2 linked regions of the Medicago truncatula genome follow. Each later gene encodes a partner of the first gene's protein in a complex. Links are inferred from orthologs where the notes say so. Each region holds a gene or a part of one and is shown on either strand. Other genes may lie near its edges.

Region 1 (7,970 bases):
ACTTTTTCTACAGTGTTTCTTAGTGCTTTGGATGCTTTATGTAGAATTTCCTGGACGAAAGGAATTTTAAAAGTTTAATTTGTGCACTAGAGAGAAGTGAGGAAAAACATAGACATGAAACAAGAACATAGACACTAAGTATCCTAGTGTCTCGTCGTGAAGCCTGGTCATAAAGTAAGTGTCATGTCATGTTTTTGTGAAGTAGCCATTGCTGCCTGAATTGAGGGCATGAGACGGGTATATCAAAAGCCACTATGCCCAACAGACCATTAAATCCCCATTTATTTCCCTTTTTGTTTGACTGCCCCTCCAATTTTTAAGGTGATTTAAAGAATTTATACGGTTTCCACTCTGATTCTTTCCACCATTTTCTTGCAAACCCGTCCTTATCCAGCAGCAAATATGTTTTCTAGCATTCCCAAAATTATTCTGGCAGCCGCTTGAACTATGTTGAATTTGTTCATTCGAAACTTTGGTCATAGTGCAAGAAATAGATATAAGCTGCCTAAATAGATCCTAAACAATCCTTTCCTGGCATGAGCTATGTAACACCAGGTTTCACTAAAAAATTGCCCCATAAGGCCTGAATCTATGCTGACAAACAGAAGACTTCAAAATTAAGGAAAACACTTTTGACTAGTATATATCACTCGTTTTCATGGAGAAAAATCTCTATATATAACATTCATCATCTAAAATCGTATCATTTGCAGTTTGTAACTCTACATTACCCAAAATATTCCTCTAAACCAATGTTGCTAAACATCAGCGATGGCAACCTGACCAATTTGTGAAGGACGGTGGCGTCTTGACGGCATCAATAACACTGCTCTCAAGTATATTATCCCTCGTTCCGTTTCTAATGTTGTAATTCTCTATTCCATCCTAACTACTAAATCTAAGCCCCTTTAATCCCAAATCTTTCTTTAAGACATCAACTCGTTTGATTTGGGATTACATCTCAATGTATGCAATTATGTAATGATGGATGAACCTAAAATTTAAATTTTGTGCCAACTCTAACGGTCAACCCTTGTTTTCAATGCTCGTGGCCTATATGTACTGATGGATGAACCTAAAATTTAATTTTGCGCCAACTCGAACGGTCAACCCTTGTTTTCAATGCTCGTGGCCTATATAGCTATTAAAATAGAAAATATGAAGTATTAAAACCACGTTTCTTTCTAGTAGTCATGTAATAATACCGCAAAAACTTGTGTGCTTACCTTCTCATACAGTGACTTAGCATCGGCATACTGTTTCTTGACTTCTTGATTGTTAGGTTCCAACCTCATGGCAAACTCGGCATCTGTAATTTAGGGAAATAGATGGTTAATGAATTCAAATATCAGAATGCTTTTGTATTAAGAAAAAACATATGTATATGACTTGCATATTAAGTTCACACACCCTCCATGGATTCTTTATTTTTGCCAAGTTCTTTTCTAGCCGTTGCTCGCCGAGAGTATGCTTTTATGTACCGATCATCAAGATTTAAGGCCTCTGTACAGTCATCCTCAGCCTCTTGAAATCTGCTGACACATAGTTGAGGAATGAAACATAAAATCGTTAGCCAAAAAACTCTTTACGAGCATCAGTAAGGTGATATACCAATTAACACATGACAGTACGTGAAAAACTACTTTCTGATATTTAGGATCACACAATTGTAAAAGACCATAATTTAGTGAAAATTTTATGAATAAGCTATAATTCTTTCAAGACAAAATGCAATCTTGCCTTCTTAGCTTTATATGGGCCATTGCCCTATTTGCATAGGCTACAGCAGTGGGTGAGAAGGCAATGCTCCTTGAATAGCAATCAATAGCTTCCTTAAACTTCTTCTGTTTGAAAAACTCATTACCCTGTAATAGACGGATGGATTGCAGTATCTTCAGAATCACACAAGACGGCAACATAAAAATCAATCCATAATCTATTTATTATTGCTAAAATAATGATCTGTCGGGACACATGTCAGTTCATGACCATCTGATTTCCCACCCAATAACATTTATTTAGACCCATGTTATATAAAGGGTTTCAGTATTAGCAGTATCCAAACAAATTGATTTGCCCCACCCGCAAGACCAAAACAGTTAGAAGAGAGGGAAAAAAGCTCCTACCAGGTCTTTCTCAGAAGCAGCATCAGGAACATCTTCAGAAGCCAAACTGCTACTCACACGACTCAACACGTCATTATTTCTTGAGAAATCATACTGAGCTGAAGAACTTCTCACATGATCAACAGCAATAGTATCTCCTTTTGATCTATTCTCCACACCCATTGATCGATCACTCCGAGAAGATGAACCCTTTATGAATTTCTATGAAAATATAATACGTCACAAATGAATTAATACATCCATACATAAGCAAGCACATACATATATAGCATACCAATATATATGGAAAATAAAGAGGGTCCTTTTCCCATCAACACACCATTGAAACATAAAGTAAGCATGAAAGTTAAGAGAAGAACCAAGTAAATAAAAATCAATTCTAGGATAAAAAACTCCAACTTCTAGCTTCAAGTAGAATCAATTCGAGAGAAAAAATCAATTCTACTCCAGAGCAATCAAACATGTCATAATCAATTTTGGCCACCGCAAGAAGTGAAACCAAAGATACACTAATTCAAAACATTAATCTCACTTTTCATTACTCCTCACAAAGTTGCACATGTATAGTAATTGCAACAAGAAGGTTAAGATAAAATTACCAACATTTTCCTTATGTGACTTCGTTTTGGACGCTTTATCCTTTGTAGAAAGTTCCCAATCCTGCAAGTCGTTTAAGAAACCCTGAAAATCCTGAGAATACAAAAAATCAACGATTAGAAGTATAGGAAAAAGAAACGGTGAAGTATTAAAGTTGCTAAAATCAAATGGAACCGTGAAGAATTAATTAACTGTACCATTTTGTGATGTGATCGTAGCGGTGAAATGAAGTTCAGTTCTGCGTGCTTACAATGAAGTATGAACTATGGAAAAATTGCTTAGTTTGAGACGAAGGGGGTAAAGTAATGGAATGTTTAGAAAGAAGTTTCGCGAAGAAGTACCAATTATAATAAGCCCAAACATTATATTGGGCTAACTATGGTTTACGTGGCTCAAGGCCCAAAATATATTACTAACTTTCTAATATTTTTTTATCGCTATTACTTTTTCCATACTATCAGTTTCTCACGCACCCTATTTTTTTTCAAGAATACCTTTATTAGGATACATTATGTTGAGCTGAATGTTTTTTTTTTTTACTCATTAAGAAACAATTCTTAATCAAGTTTTTTTTATTTTACGATCGAACTCTAGATTGCTATGGTTTAATTCCCCTAAGAAATGCAGGGCTAACACCCAAAAAAAATTAAAAATTAGTTGAATCTCATTAAAATAAGATTAATACATAACAATAGCAACAATATTGAACATTATAAAAAAAAATATCTTATTTTGTCCTTGTATAAAAAAAGTATTTCGATGTAAAAAAAATCTTCCAATTTACCTTTCATTTAATTAGTTTATTTTTATCTTTTCATCAACTTTTACCAATAAAACGAAAAGATGAACACGTTAATATGCGTCTTGATCTCAATTACTATAAAATAGTATATCTTTAAGCAGTTTTACATATTTCAAACAAGAAAAACACTTGTCTTAAAATAAGTGTACAAAATCATCTACGCTGGAGACATCCATTTTTAAATACTTAAATAAGTCTTACGGGAATACATCATTCATTTATAATTTTTTAATAGTAGTACATACTTCATCCGTCTCATAATAACTGAGTCATTTTGTAACACCCAGTTTTCCCAACGTAAAAATTTCATTTATTTAATCAGAGTAATTTACATAAACGGAATGTCACATTTCTTTTCTTAAAATCATAAACGGAATAATTAATTAATTATCCTTCAAAATTCAATAACATAATATTTAATAATTCACAGCGGAATTTATTCGAACATCTAAAATAATTTTGGCACGAAGGCCTCATCAAAGTATCTCATAAAAATCCAATTAACAACTTAATCATGTAAATTCATAAGTAATACGTAAGGAATAGAAAAGCATGCAACAAAGTTTCCATCCCGTTACGTTAAGAAATCGATTGCAAGGTTCTCTTCTCGTTCCTCCTCTTCTCTAGGTTTTCTCCATCTTTCTCCAAAAACTGGTTGTACGTGAAAAACTATTCTGACTTCTCACTTTTCTCTTTTTATAACCTTAACCTACCTATTTTCTCTTAACTCCACTTATTCTCTTAAACTCTTATAAATTCCCAAATCAGCCCCCAAAATATCAATATTCTATTTTAATATATATATAAAATACTTCTACACCAAATAACAAATATATTTCTACACTAGATAATATAATATAATATACTACTAAAACACCAACCTATAACACAAAAATAACACACATCATCATAAATCAAATAAATTATTTAAAAAGACTCTAAACTCAATAAAATAATCAAATAAAACAAATAGTTCAAAGAGGGCGTTACACATTTCACTTTTTAATACAATATTATTAATGATTTTTTTTCCTTTATAACTCTAATTAATACTATTTCGTCATTTTCAATTCAATATATTCCACTTTTCATTCGAATGCATTAATACTTAACAAGTGCATTTAAAACTATTTTTCTCTCCTTCATTTATACATTTTTCTTAATACATGTGAAATGAGCTTTTGGCTCTGTTAATGCGGGACGGAAGGAGTATAATTACTCAATCCTTCAACCCAACATATCACACAAATCACTAATTAACTATAAAAAAATTATACTATTATTACACATCAAATTTTTAACATTCAAAGAGCGTGGATCCCACTTAAAAATAGGATCTTGAGTGAGATACTTGGTCCGATAAGACCCCAAAAAAATATCCTGTCAAAGGAGGTACGTAATAGGCATCCAGCCGATTAAGCCTCTCCCATTGGAATGGTTTACCATCCTAAAACAAAGCACACTTGAACTTTGAATTTGTTTTGATAAGTCCTCTTTTGATTTTGTAAAGTGAGGAATGTTAACAACACTCATTTTTGAGTATTCTCTAACATTCACTCTTTCATTGGATAAAACCCATGTATGTTCCACCATTTTATGTGGGTTCAATTTTCAAAGTCTAGATCTACAATGATTTAAACTAATAAGAGAGAGTGTTGCTACCGTTCCTCTCATAAAGTATAGCCAGGCTCTCGGCTATGTCTTGAGGGTGGGGAATGCATTTTCTCGGGAAATTAAAGTTTGGGTTAGGTTAGGGTGACGGTGGATGTAATTTCAGGTCCTAGAAATAAATAAGGTTGAACAACAATGGTTAGACCTCAAATAAGAAGAGACAGTGAAAACTGTCTACAGTCACGGCACAATGATAGAGTAGTAGGGTCGTGGATGACGGATGCAAGCTCTGTAGTCTGCATAAAAGAGGTGCAGTGGTCTTGTCAACATGATTGCCACCACTGTTATGTAGTATTTGTGTTATTATTTGCCTTTCATTTCAATTCAATTCAAGTAAATGAAAAAAGCATCTCCCTCTCTCCCTCACTCTTTCTTTTACGTACAACACCTCACTCTCAGGGCCCCTTTCTTTATCATCTTCATGTTCATTCAACCACTCAACTCAATCTTAAAAAACTAACAATAAATCAATCACTCACACATTCAATCAATCACACATCACTCCCCCCATTTTTCGAATTTCTCTTTCCCTTCACTCACTCATTGTCATTACTATACCACCACTACCATTTACCACCACTATTCAACAATACTTTCATATTTTTATTAATAAAAATACAATATTGCTCATCAATAATAAAAATAGCAATTAGAGTTCAAATTTAAATAAGTTCCCAATATTGCTGCTCTTTGAGAATTATTTGAGAAACTTAATCGTTTTCTAGTGAACACATAAACTTAAATTTTTTAATTTGGCAAAAAAAATAAAAAATCACAATAGATGCAATTATACAAAGGTAGACATGTGATTATAAATCTGATGCCAAAATAAAGCATGTATGATTAGTGTGTTTTTTTAGACAGGTGTCGTCGAAAACTAAGACAAACAATTTTAAGATTATGAGTTGATAAAGACATCTAACATAGCAGCAATGTCACTTAAGCAGAGCCGTTTCTAAAGTTTTGGTGGCAAGCCTATAATTCTAATCTTAAATAACAGGTAATAAAAAGAATTAATTTTGCAATTTTGGCCTCCTAAGTATCAAAACAACAATTTTTTTTATTTTTTTTATTTTTTTAATTTAAAAATTGATTTTTTGGTTTTTAAATTTTTTTAATTAATTAATTACACACGTGGCCTACCACGTAGGCGTTGAATAAGTCAAAATTGATCAAAAAGACCAAAGATGCAAAGGGGCTAAATCTTAGGGGCCAAAATTGTGGTTTCTATATTTAGGGAGCCAAAATTGCAAGTTTTTGAAAGTTAAGGGGGGAAAAGTACACTTTAACCTTAATTTTTTTTTAAAGTGTGAACATAATTTACTCTAACATGGTAGTTTAACTACATTACAAAATTATCTAATAAAAAAATCAAAATTCATAAAAAAAAAAAATCATTGAATTAATTATTTAATATTCAAATTTTCACAAAGGTGTTGATTTTTCAAAGAGTTGGAGAAGGGTCACTCTAACCGGGGATAATAAATGGATGGGTAAAACATAAATCATCATATTAATCAATTTAATGACAAAAACTTTTTCCTTTCTGACGAGGTCAATCAAATGGATCCAATAAATATCAAAATCTCCTTTCATAAAACATATCTAATGATAGACAACTCTCAATAAACTTCAGTTGCTATATAAATACATACTTTTATTTATAAATTTAAGTATTATATAAATAGTTGTTTAAATAACACACATTTATCTAACAGTCACGCATTTGTATGATATATGACCACCTTGCAAGATTATGAGCAATATGGGTCTTAACTTGGTGTGGTAACGCACTTATGAATGAATTAAAAGAGTCCAAAACGCCTTTAGAATCAAAAGAGAAAATGACTTCCTTCAAATCCAATTCCCACATTCATTCAATAATTGATAGCAAACCCAATGCATCTCCAAAAGTAACATCAGCAACTAATCTTATAATATGTGAGGATCCAGATCAATGTGATATTAGAGTCTCGTCTGAAAAAGTGGATGCATATCATATGAATGTAATAAAAAGAGTGAGCAAGGAAGAAAACCGCATAACCATAGAAACACTATAACTAAAAATCAACCTATTACTCTCACCTCCTCACCTTTCAATCCCAAACTTGTTGTATCTCTCCGAGAAATATGCATCAATATTTCACATTTTGAATCCACTCTAATAATTCGTCTTACACCATAGTAATTAGTCTCATAATTAATATTCGAACTTGTATACAGTAGGTACACTAGTAATTCCACAAATAAGCAGATTGGACTATTGACAACAACCTAGCGTGGCCCATTTGCATCCAACCAGGGCCCTCGTCTACTCCAGTCACATTCCAAATCTAAGTGTGATTTTAATTTCAGAATTAATTAAGTTTTTTTTTTTTTTTTTTAAAAAAAATGTCACTTTTCCAAAACTATTTTTATAACTATTAATATCATAAAAGGGAAAAAAATTATGTTTTTCAATGATTCTTTTTTTGACTCATAATAAATTAAATATGGATTTTTTTTTAATACCATCAATACATGAGGAATTTTAATATTTTTTTAAGGAAGGAATTTTGATATTTAATATATAGAGTGGGGATGTCTGTTATTATGATTTTTTTTTATCTATTCACATTTATGAAAACAAAAAAGTAAAATAAAAATGTGTTAATTGCTGCAAGACAATTTTTTTTTTTTTGTGTGTGGTGCAATGAAAGTTGGGTTTAACATAAGAAATTAATCTTTCACAATGTGTCAAATCTATGTATGCATCCATATTTATTGTCTAAGAG
Region 2 (8,001 bases), on another chromosome or scaffold:
AGATGGACAAAATTTCAATACTTGGGGATGCTGTAAACTACTTGAATGAGTTAAAAGAACAAATTAATGATCTTCAAAGTGAGATAGCGTCAAGTTCTCCAAGATCATTTATGCCACCGCCTACAGGAACTCACATTATGACATCTACCATGTCAGCCCTTCCAGTTCAAATGAAAGAAAAGTTATGTCCTAACAATGTGTCAGGTCTTAAAAACCAACCAACAAAGGTACTTATTTACTTTAATAGAAAGTTCTTATTCCATATCAATAAATGCTTACTACACTCAAAATATACATTAATATGTAAAATGAAGACATTTCATTCACTGTTTTGTTGACATCATTAGGAGTCTTATATTTTGGATTTTTTTGGTGTATTTTGTGCGAAATATTACATACACACACGCGCGCGCCCACGCACACACATGAGAATTGTATTTGCGTTTTTGTTCACAATTACAAAGCGTGTAATATAACTTACTAAAAAATCTAAAAGATTGGACAAGACATGCAATTGATAACTATAATTGAAAACTGAAGCATGTATGAAACTTTTTTTTGTTCATTTTGGATACTTTCACTTGATATCTAAATTCGATAAAAAATATTTATAGAAATAGGTTGATTTAATTGTATTGTTGACCCCATATTTAACTAAATGTGAAATCATCCCTTTTTTTTAAAATGAATTTTCTAGTTCTTCTATTTTCACATTTGTTGTAGTTTTTGTCTAAACTAATACTTGTTGCCACAAAATCGATTATTTTTATGTAAAAAAAAAAAAAAAAAAATTACTCCAAAAAGTGATACTTTATCTTGGAATTTAACATTTGAGCAATAAACCACCACCCTAGGGTAACAAATTACCTATTTTGGGGGCATGAAATATATGTTGAGACTAAAATTGTAATAAATGTGAATATTGAAGGACTAGATAGTTCAATTTTAAAAAAGATGGACTACTTTTGTGAATTTGATTAAATAGAGAAACCAAAAGTGTAATTAAGTCAAACACTGTGTCAATGCCAACCACACTTAATTTTAGTGTAACAAATATTAGTTAGCAAAAAGATGAGCACTAACATAACCGTCTGTCCGATTTTCTATCACACTTAATTTTATAGATAATTTGATATGTATAATGATCAATATTTAAAAAAAAAAATGATTAGATATTATAAAAATAAGATTGAAATAAGCTCTTTTTATAGTATTAAATATCGCTCATATATTGTAACGAGGTTGTTCTTATTTTAAGGGTATTCAATTATTGTTTTAAAAATTTGACAATTTTTTAAATTAACAATACAAGTAAAATTATAAAAAGGATAAAACAGTTTAAAATAATGATAAAAATGAAAGGAAAAACCACCCCAAATAAACAGTTTATTCACTTTATATACATGTATAAAACAAATATATAAGTATAAATAATACTATGATGGTATTTGCAGGTAGATGTTAGGGTAAGGGAAGAGGGAATTGTCAACATCCATATGTTTTGTGCCAACAAACCAGGTGTTTTGGCATCGATTATGAAGGCATTGGATAGCCTTGGATTGGATGTTCACCAGGCTAACATAAGCTGTTTTAATGATTTTTCTCTAGATGTGTTCAAAGCTGAGGTATACATTTATTTTTCAATACTATACTTTATAAAATTTCTTATTCGATTACCATGTCATTTATTTTATAATTTCCATTAATTATTCTTTCAAAATTTATTTTAGATGCTAACATGTGATCATGAGAACAATGTAATGAATGGTGTACGATCTATCTATGGTAACTTGACTTTTTAAAGCATACCAACAATTATTTAGTTCAGAGTTGCACTTACATTTATGTTTTTTTGCAATAATTTGCGAACTTAAGTAATCATATGGATAATGTGGATGTTTGTATTGACTATCATAAAATTATTTTCTGAGATTATATGAGTAAATTTTGATCATTAGATTTATAATTTCAAGATTTACTCTTGTCATTCTTTGTTTCCATTATTCCATGAATGAACATTAAAGCTTTTTTACTTCTTACAATAAAAATATATCTTTTAAATGAGAAAAAATCTCAATTTTAATGAGATAATATTTACAAAAGATCTTTGTAAATAATACGAACTAGCGAATCATCTTTGCTTTTTTCTTTCGAAGAAGAATAATACGAAGTAGGTCAAATGTCTTATGAGATTTTTAATTGGTTGTTAATAATAAATATTTGGTGTTTGAATGTGGTGCTCACACATTATTAACCCGTCATTGTCATCCTAAGTTTTGTTATATTGATTTTAATTTTTCATGTTTCTTTTCAGCAACACAGCAAAGACCAAGAATTGACCCCCGTACAAATTAAAGCATTATTGTTGAAGGCATTGGATTTTCATTGAATGATGTGAGTTAAGTTATGGACAAATTCTATCTTTACAGATAAATTAGTTGCCTTTGTTGTAGCATGAGGTTTCTAAATTATTTTACATTTTTATTATTTTGTATTGAAAGTTATGCCCAAACCAATATCAAAATGGTTTAAAGCTTATGGTTTTGTATTTTTTTTTTTTATGAATTTGAGCACATCATACTTTATTACTTTGAAGTCATTGAATAAATTTTTGTTTGCCTCATTTTCCTGTTGAGTGACGCTAATTTTTATTTTTTAATTGGTCTCGTAATTGGACCAAAAAATAACCAAAGTTCATAAATTTGAGGCGTTGTGGTAAAACTCCCTAATATTGCGTTAAATAGATTGAATTGGTTATTCACGTTGAAGTTGCCTCTATTGTTTGCTATTCTATGATGAATAACTTATTGACCTCCTGAAATGTATTTGTATTTTAGGAAATGTCTTTTTCCTAACGACACATGAAAATATTCAATTTTTTATTTGATATTTTTTACCATTTTAGTGCAATCTTATATGAAGTTTTTACCAGTTTAAAGAAAAATGCTTTATGAGCACAATGATTAAATGTCACACTTTTGTTTTTCAAAATATTTTTACATTCTATGCAATCTTGCATAAAATCTTTACTAGTATGAGATAAGAATCATTTAGATAGAGGAGGATAATTAATCGATCTAAATTGAATTAAAGTACTTGAAATTTAAGGTAGTTGATCCAAATATGTTCAGATAATAATATGGTTTTGGCAATCAGTAAAGTAGATAGACCTCACAATAGAAACTACTACATGTCCATTAAACACTAACGACACTTCTTAGTAAAGTTGATGACAATATGGTCTTTTGCCGTGACATGTATTGGGGATTTAAACCATCAAAGTGGTGAATAATGTGAATATTAAGGAGTATTCTTTTTACACCATCCTAAGTTCCAATGCTTAATAACTCACATACATTTTTTGACTTGCTTACATCGTGCACCTTAGACATCGTCTAATTGGCGTGGAGAGTGCTTTGGAATCTCCATGGAGTTTCAATTGGAACCAATATCTTGTGATGTGAAAGGTTGAGTTTTATGGCCAATTTTTCAAGTCCATAGTAAAAGACCTTCACATGTATAATGATTTTATCAACTGATTTCAAGGAGGTGCTTTATATTTATTTACATGATAAAAGGCCTTCATATTTGTTTACATGATAAATTTGTAATCTATAATATAATATATATATATATTATCATATCTCTGTCCGATGGTCCACCTTTTAAAAAAAAATGTGGTCTACCAAACACATAATATCATAAGTGACTATCCTATCACTATTATATCCAACTTCTTATCATATCACTTGTCTATCATATCTTGTGTACCAAGCGGACCCTAATATTGAATTCTCTCGGTTGACTTTCATGTGATGCGTTACATAATTTTTGAAAGAATGTGATACGTTACATATCATGTGATACATTACATATTTTGATTATAAGCTTAATTTAAATTTTAGTCCCTATTTTTTCATCGTCCCTCTATTTCAAAATCTAATCGTTTTGGTCTCTCCACCATACTTTTGAACTAAAAGATCGATAATTTGACATGTTTTGAATGACTTAGTATATGATAAGATAATGGAGAAAGATAAACATAAATGAAATTGTAAGAAAATTTTCTTAAAACAGGGGAATTTGTTCTTAGTTTCATACTTTAGTCGTAATATATGTATTCTATTATAATAATCATTCTTTCAATTTTAACTTTCATAGGGGCGGTTATATAAGAGAAACTTTCATAGGGGGTATTATAACAATTTATAGAGAATATAGTTAACTTTTAAAATTGTTCTTTGAACCCTTTTAATTCAATGGGAGTGATTAGCCTTCTACATTTGTTTCAATCTCAATCCTCTATTATACCCACCCTCCTTTTAATCACATGCGCCGCAAAACTATCACAAAATCGAGTTTAAGTATGTTTCATTTAATCTATTTAAGATACGCATGTAAGACATAGTGTGTTTGGTTTGCAAAACAGCAAGTACTGGACAGAACAATACAAGATAGAACACTACAATACAAGGCAGAACAGCATAGAACAAATTTTTTATGTCATTGAGTAATTTTTTGTTTTATACGATTTTTGAGGGACAAAATGCTATTTTGGTATTTTAGACAACTTGTACGTGGGACAAAAAGTTGTGCTGTAGTTTGGTGAGGGACAAAAATATGAGTTTTTGTCCTGTCCCTTGCCTCCAGTTTTTCCTGTACCTGAAACAATTTTACAAATCAAACACTGGACAACTAGAGTTGTTCTATACTGTCCATCGTTTTTTAGCAAATCAAACGCACTCTGAAGGTACCGAGGTAAGACATATGACAATTATTCTTCAAAAAAGTTTTTTGTTTTTTTGAGAGGAACTAAACATCCAAAGGGTTGATATTTTAAATTAAAAAAATGAACATTTGTTTAATAAACTAACCCTCTCTTCTTTCTCGTTTTGTTTTACACTCTCTCTGCACTCTAAACATTTTCTTCTTTCTCTCTCTACCCTTAAACCTAGCCGCTACCGCCGTAAGAAAAAGCGATTCCGGCGCCGAGAGCTCGCCGACGGTGCACTCACGGAACCCTCTCAGCTCACTGGACAGCGATTACGTCGCCATTGCTGTAGCTACTTCAACAGGTTCAAACTTGTTCATTTCATCGCTTTTTTTTTGCTCTTTTTTTTTAAAATTTTTTTTTTTCTATCGAGTTTTAAGTTATAAGCAAATGATTTCTAGTTTCAAGTTTTTATTTTGTTTCTCTGTTTCCAACATATAGGATTATCATTCATAACAGCTAAATGTTTTAATTGTTAATTGAGAATTTGTTCATAGTTTCATACTTTGTTTGAGTTCTGTAATGCATTTTATCTATGAGTTCTTTGTCATGTGTATATTTAGAAAGATGAGGGAAAATATTAAAATTTCTGTTGAATTTTTGCAATATATATTTCAAATTTCCTATATGTCCATATGCAAAGCTTATGAACGTTTATTATAGTATTTACATCACAATTTGGTTGTTATTGTTGTGAGTTATACTTCTGATTTTAAGTCTTTAGGCTTTTTGTCGGGGTCTGAGAAGATAAAGTAGGCACAATTCTGCGTGCTCTATGGTTCTGTTTGTTTGCTGAGTGTATCTTATTGTAGTATTGTGAAATTATGTTAATTTGATAGTATTGTGATTTTTTTTTTGGGTTTTCTAAGGTATGGTATGAATTTTTTGAAATTGTTCAATAGAATCTGTGTCACTTGGTTCAATTTCAACTAGTGGCTCACTGATTTGCAATTTTGTCGCCCCTAGTTCTTTAAATGTTACTAATCCTATCTTTGTGTCTCAGTCTCCATTGCAAAGTGAAAACTGAAAACCTTATCTAGAGAGAGATGGAGAAGATGAAAATTGAAGAGGTTCAGTCGACAACAAAGAAACAGCGTGTTGCTACTCACACTCACATTAAAGGCCTAGGTCTTGAGGTTTGTTCTCTTCCTCAATTTAATAAGTTTTTTTTCTCTGTTTTCTGTGTGTGAAAATAATAGCTAAATTTGAACCTTAACAATAGATCCAAATGAGCACAGATTTTATGTGTTACACATGCCTGTTTGTTGCGGGTGAAACCAAACCCTTTTGCTTATTTCTTGCCATGCTCAAATGTTTTGAATGCTTCAATTTTAAGTTAACAACTACTTGTTTTTTGGTTTGGTTATTGTTCAGGTCAGTGGAAAAGCAGTGCCTTTTGCTTCTGGGTTTGTGGGACAAGCTGATGCAAGAGAAGCGTGTGGCCTTGTGGTCGACATGATACGCCAGAAGAAGATGGCTGGGAAGGCACTCCTTCTCGCCGGGCCCCCCGGAACCGGAAAGACTGCATTAGCACTTGGGATATGTCAGGAGCTTGGGACCAAGGTTTTGCACCGAAAATCATTCTTGTATTCTTTTGTTTCTGTGACGTTATAAGATTTATTTATACCACTTTGTAGGTTCCATTCTGCCCAATGGTTGGTTCGGAAGTATACTCAACGGAAGTAAAGAAGACTGAGGTTCTTATGGAAAATTTTCGACGGGCTATCGGTCTACGTATTAAGGAAAACAAGGAAGTATATGAAGGCGAGGTGAGTTCGCTGTGATTCACTTGTTAAAAATGGGAATCTGGGATTGGTTTGTTGACTACTTCGTCTGCTGCAATTTTTTTTATATCAAGTTTTTTTGATGTAATTTTGGTCCTGTGCAAGGTGACCGAGCTCTCTCCTGAAGAAACTGAGAGTATAACAGGAGGTTATGGTAAGAGTATTAGCCATGTGATAATTGGATTGAAGACAGTGAAAGGAACCAAGCAACTAAAGTTGGACCCCACGATATATGATGCCTTGATCAAGGAAAAGGTTTGGTTTTGCTGTTATTCTTTTCTCTTTTTGAAAGTTCATGTGTTTATATTTTATAGGGTAAATTACACTCACCTCTCTTGAGGTCTTCTTAAATAGCACTAACACCCCCTCTAGTTTAAAACTAAACACTAATCTCCCTTAATTTTTAATCAAATCTACAAACACCACCCCTGTCATGTAACACCGTTGGTTCTCTGTTAACTTAGCTTCCTTGTCGAAAAAACTACTCCCCCTACCATTCATCTATGCTTTACAATTTGCATACAACGCCAAACAATAATGGCCACGGTGCCACACCAGGCTGTTCAACGAACTTCTTTATACTCACATGCTTCATACTATTTAGTGGAAAATGGACTAATGGAAGGATTACATGAAATATAAAAAATAAATAAATATGGAAAAGGAATAACAATGATTATCTTCTACCTAGTGAAAAATGGATTAATGGAAAGAACTGAAATAAAACCTCAGCTTTTGAGGCGTGAAGTTTGATGCTCAACATAAAAAATATTCAATTTTAGGATGAAGGAAGTGATTGTAATTCACATCAACATAATAAAATTGGATGAATTGCTTAACGTGGCTTTTGCAGAATTGGAGAAGGAATTAGATAGATTGAAACTGAAATTCTAGGTTGAAAAAATAGATAAACCAAATTCAAGAGGATGAAGAATAATTAAGTGCATCAATCAAAGAAATCTAAACAAACCGATTGAAAATCTGAACTGAACTCATTAGTAGAATATATTGTTGAAATCATTGCAAGATGTAAAATCAAGAGAAATTTGTTAATTTAGAAGAAGAAGAAAAAGGTGGGGATTGATGTGAATTGAATGAAGGTGTGAAATCAGTCGTGGGTAGCCAAATTATGGTAGCTAATCTCTAAATTCTTGTCATGAAAATAACAGAAAGCTAACGGTGTTACATGAGAAGGGAGGTTAATGTTTATTTCAAAACTAGAGGGGGTGTTAGTGCTATTTAAGAAAACTTCAAGGGAGGTGAGTGTAATTTACCCTATTTTATAACTTTTTGTTTTATATTTTGGCGGGAACTGGGAAGTTATTTTCATTTTAAATCTATACAAATATTGGTGTCAAACATTCTACAGCTTTGATACATGAGACTTATGAACATTGTACAGGTAGCTGTCGGGGATGTTATATATATTGAGGCAAATAGTGGGGC

The links.
Region 2: the proteins of RNA polymerase II-associated protein 3 (region 1) and ruvB-like protein 1 are in contact, whole or in part, in a cryo-EM structure (PDB 9EQ2), measured with the Arabidopsis thaliana proteins. The link is inferred for Medicago truncatula from reciprocal best matches to the Arabidopsis thaliana genes TPR5 and RIN1. Residues at the interface, in NP_176039.2 of Arabidopsis thaliana: Tyr357, Glu360, Asn361, Arg364, Ser365; in NP_197625.1 of Arabidopsis thaliana: Pro74, Gln366, Ile367, Tyr368, Asp369, Glu372.

Annotation. Positions count from the first base shown.
Region 1 is NC_053042.1:41,376,973-41,384,942, forward strand, and holds the start of RNA polymerase II-associated protein 3, read right to left. Parts: upstream 3,053-7,970; 5' UTR 2,924-3,052; coding exon 2,921-2,923; intron 2,817-2,920; coding exon 2,730-2,816; coding exon of another isoform or gene 2,726-2,729; intron 2,328-2,725; coding exon 2,127-2,327; intron 1,866-2,126; coding exon 1,741-1,865; intron 1,536-1,740; coding exon 1,411-1,535; intron 1,310-1,410; coding exon 1,227-1,309; intron 51-1,226; coding exon 1-50.
Region 2 is NC_053044.1:51,407,836-51,415,836, reverse strand, and holds the start of ruvB-like protein 1, read left to right. Parts: upstream 1-4,919; 5' UTR 4,920-5,075; intron 5,076-5,774; 5' UTR 5,775-5,817; coding exon 5,818-5,907; intron 5,908-6,145; coding exon 6,146-6,334; intron 6,335-6,408; coding exon 6,409-6,540; intron 6,541-6,660; coding exon 6,661-6,810; intron 6,811-7,957; coding exon 7,958-8,001. Other genes in the region: transcription factor ICE1, read left to right, coding at 3-227, 1,455-1,625, 2,315-2,389. UniProt on the Arabidopsis thaliana protein: Proposed core component of the chromatin remodeling INO80 complex which is involved in transcriptional regulation, DNA replication and probably DNA repair.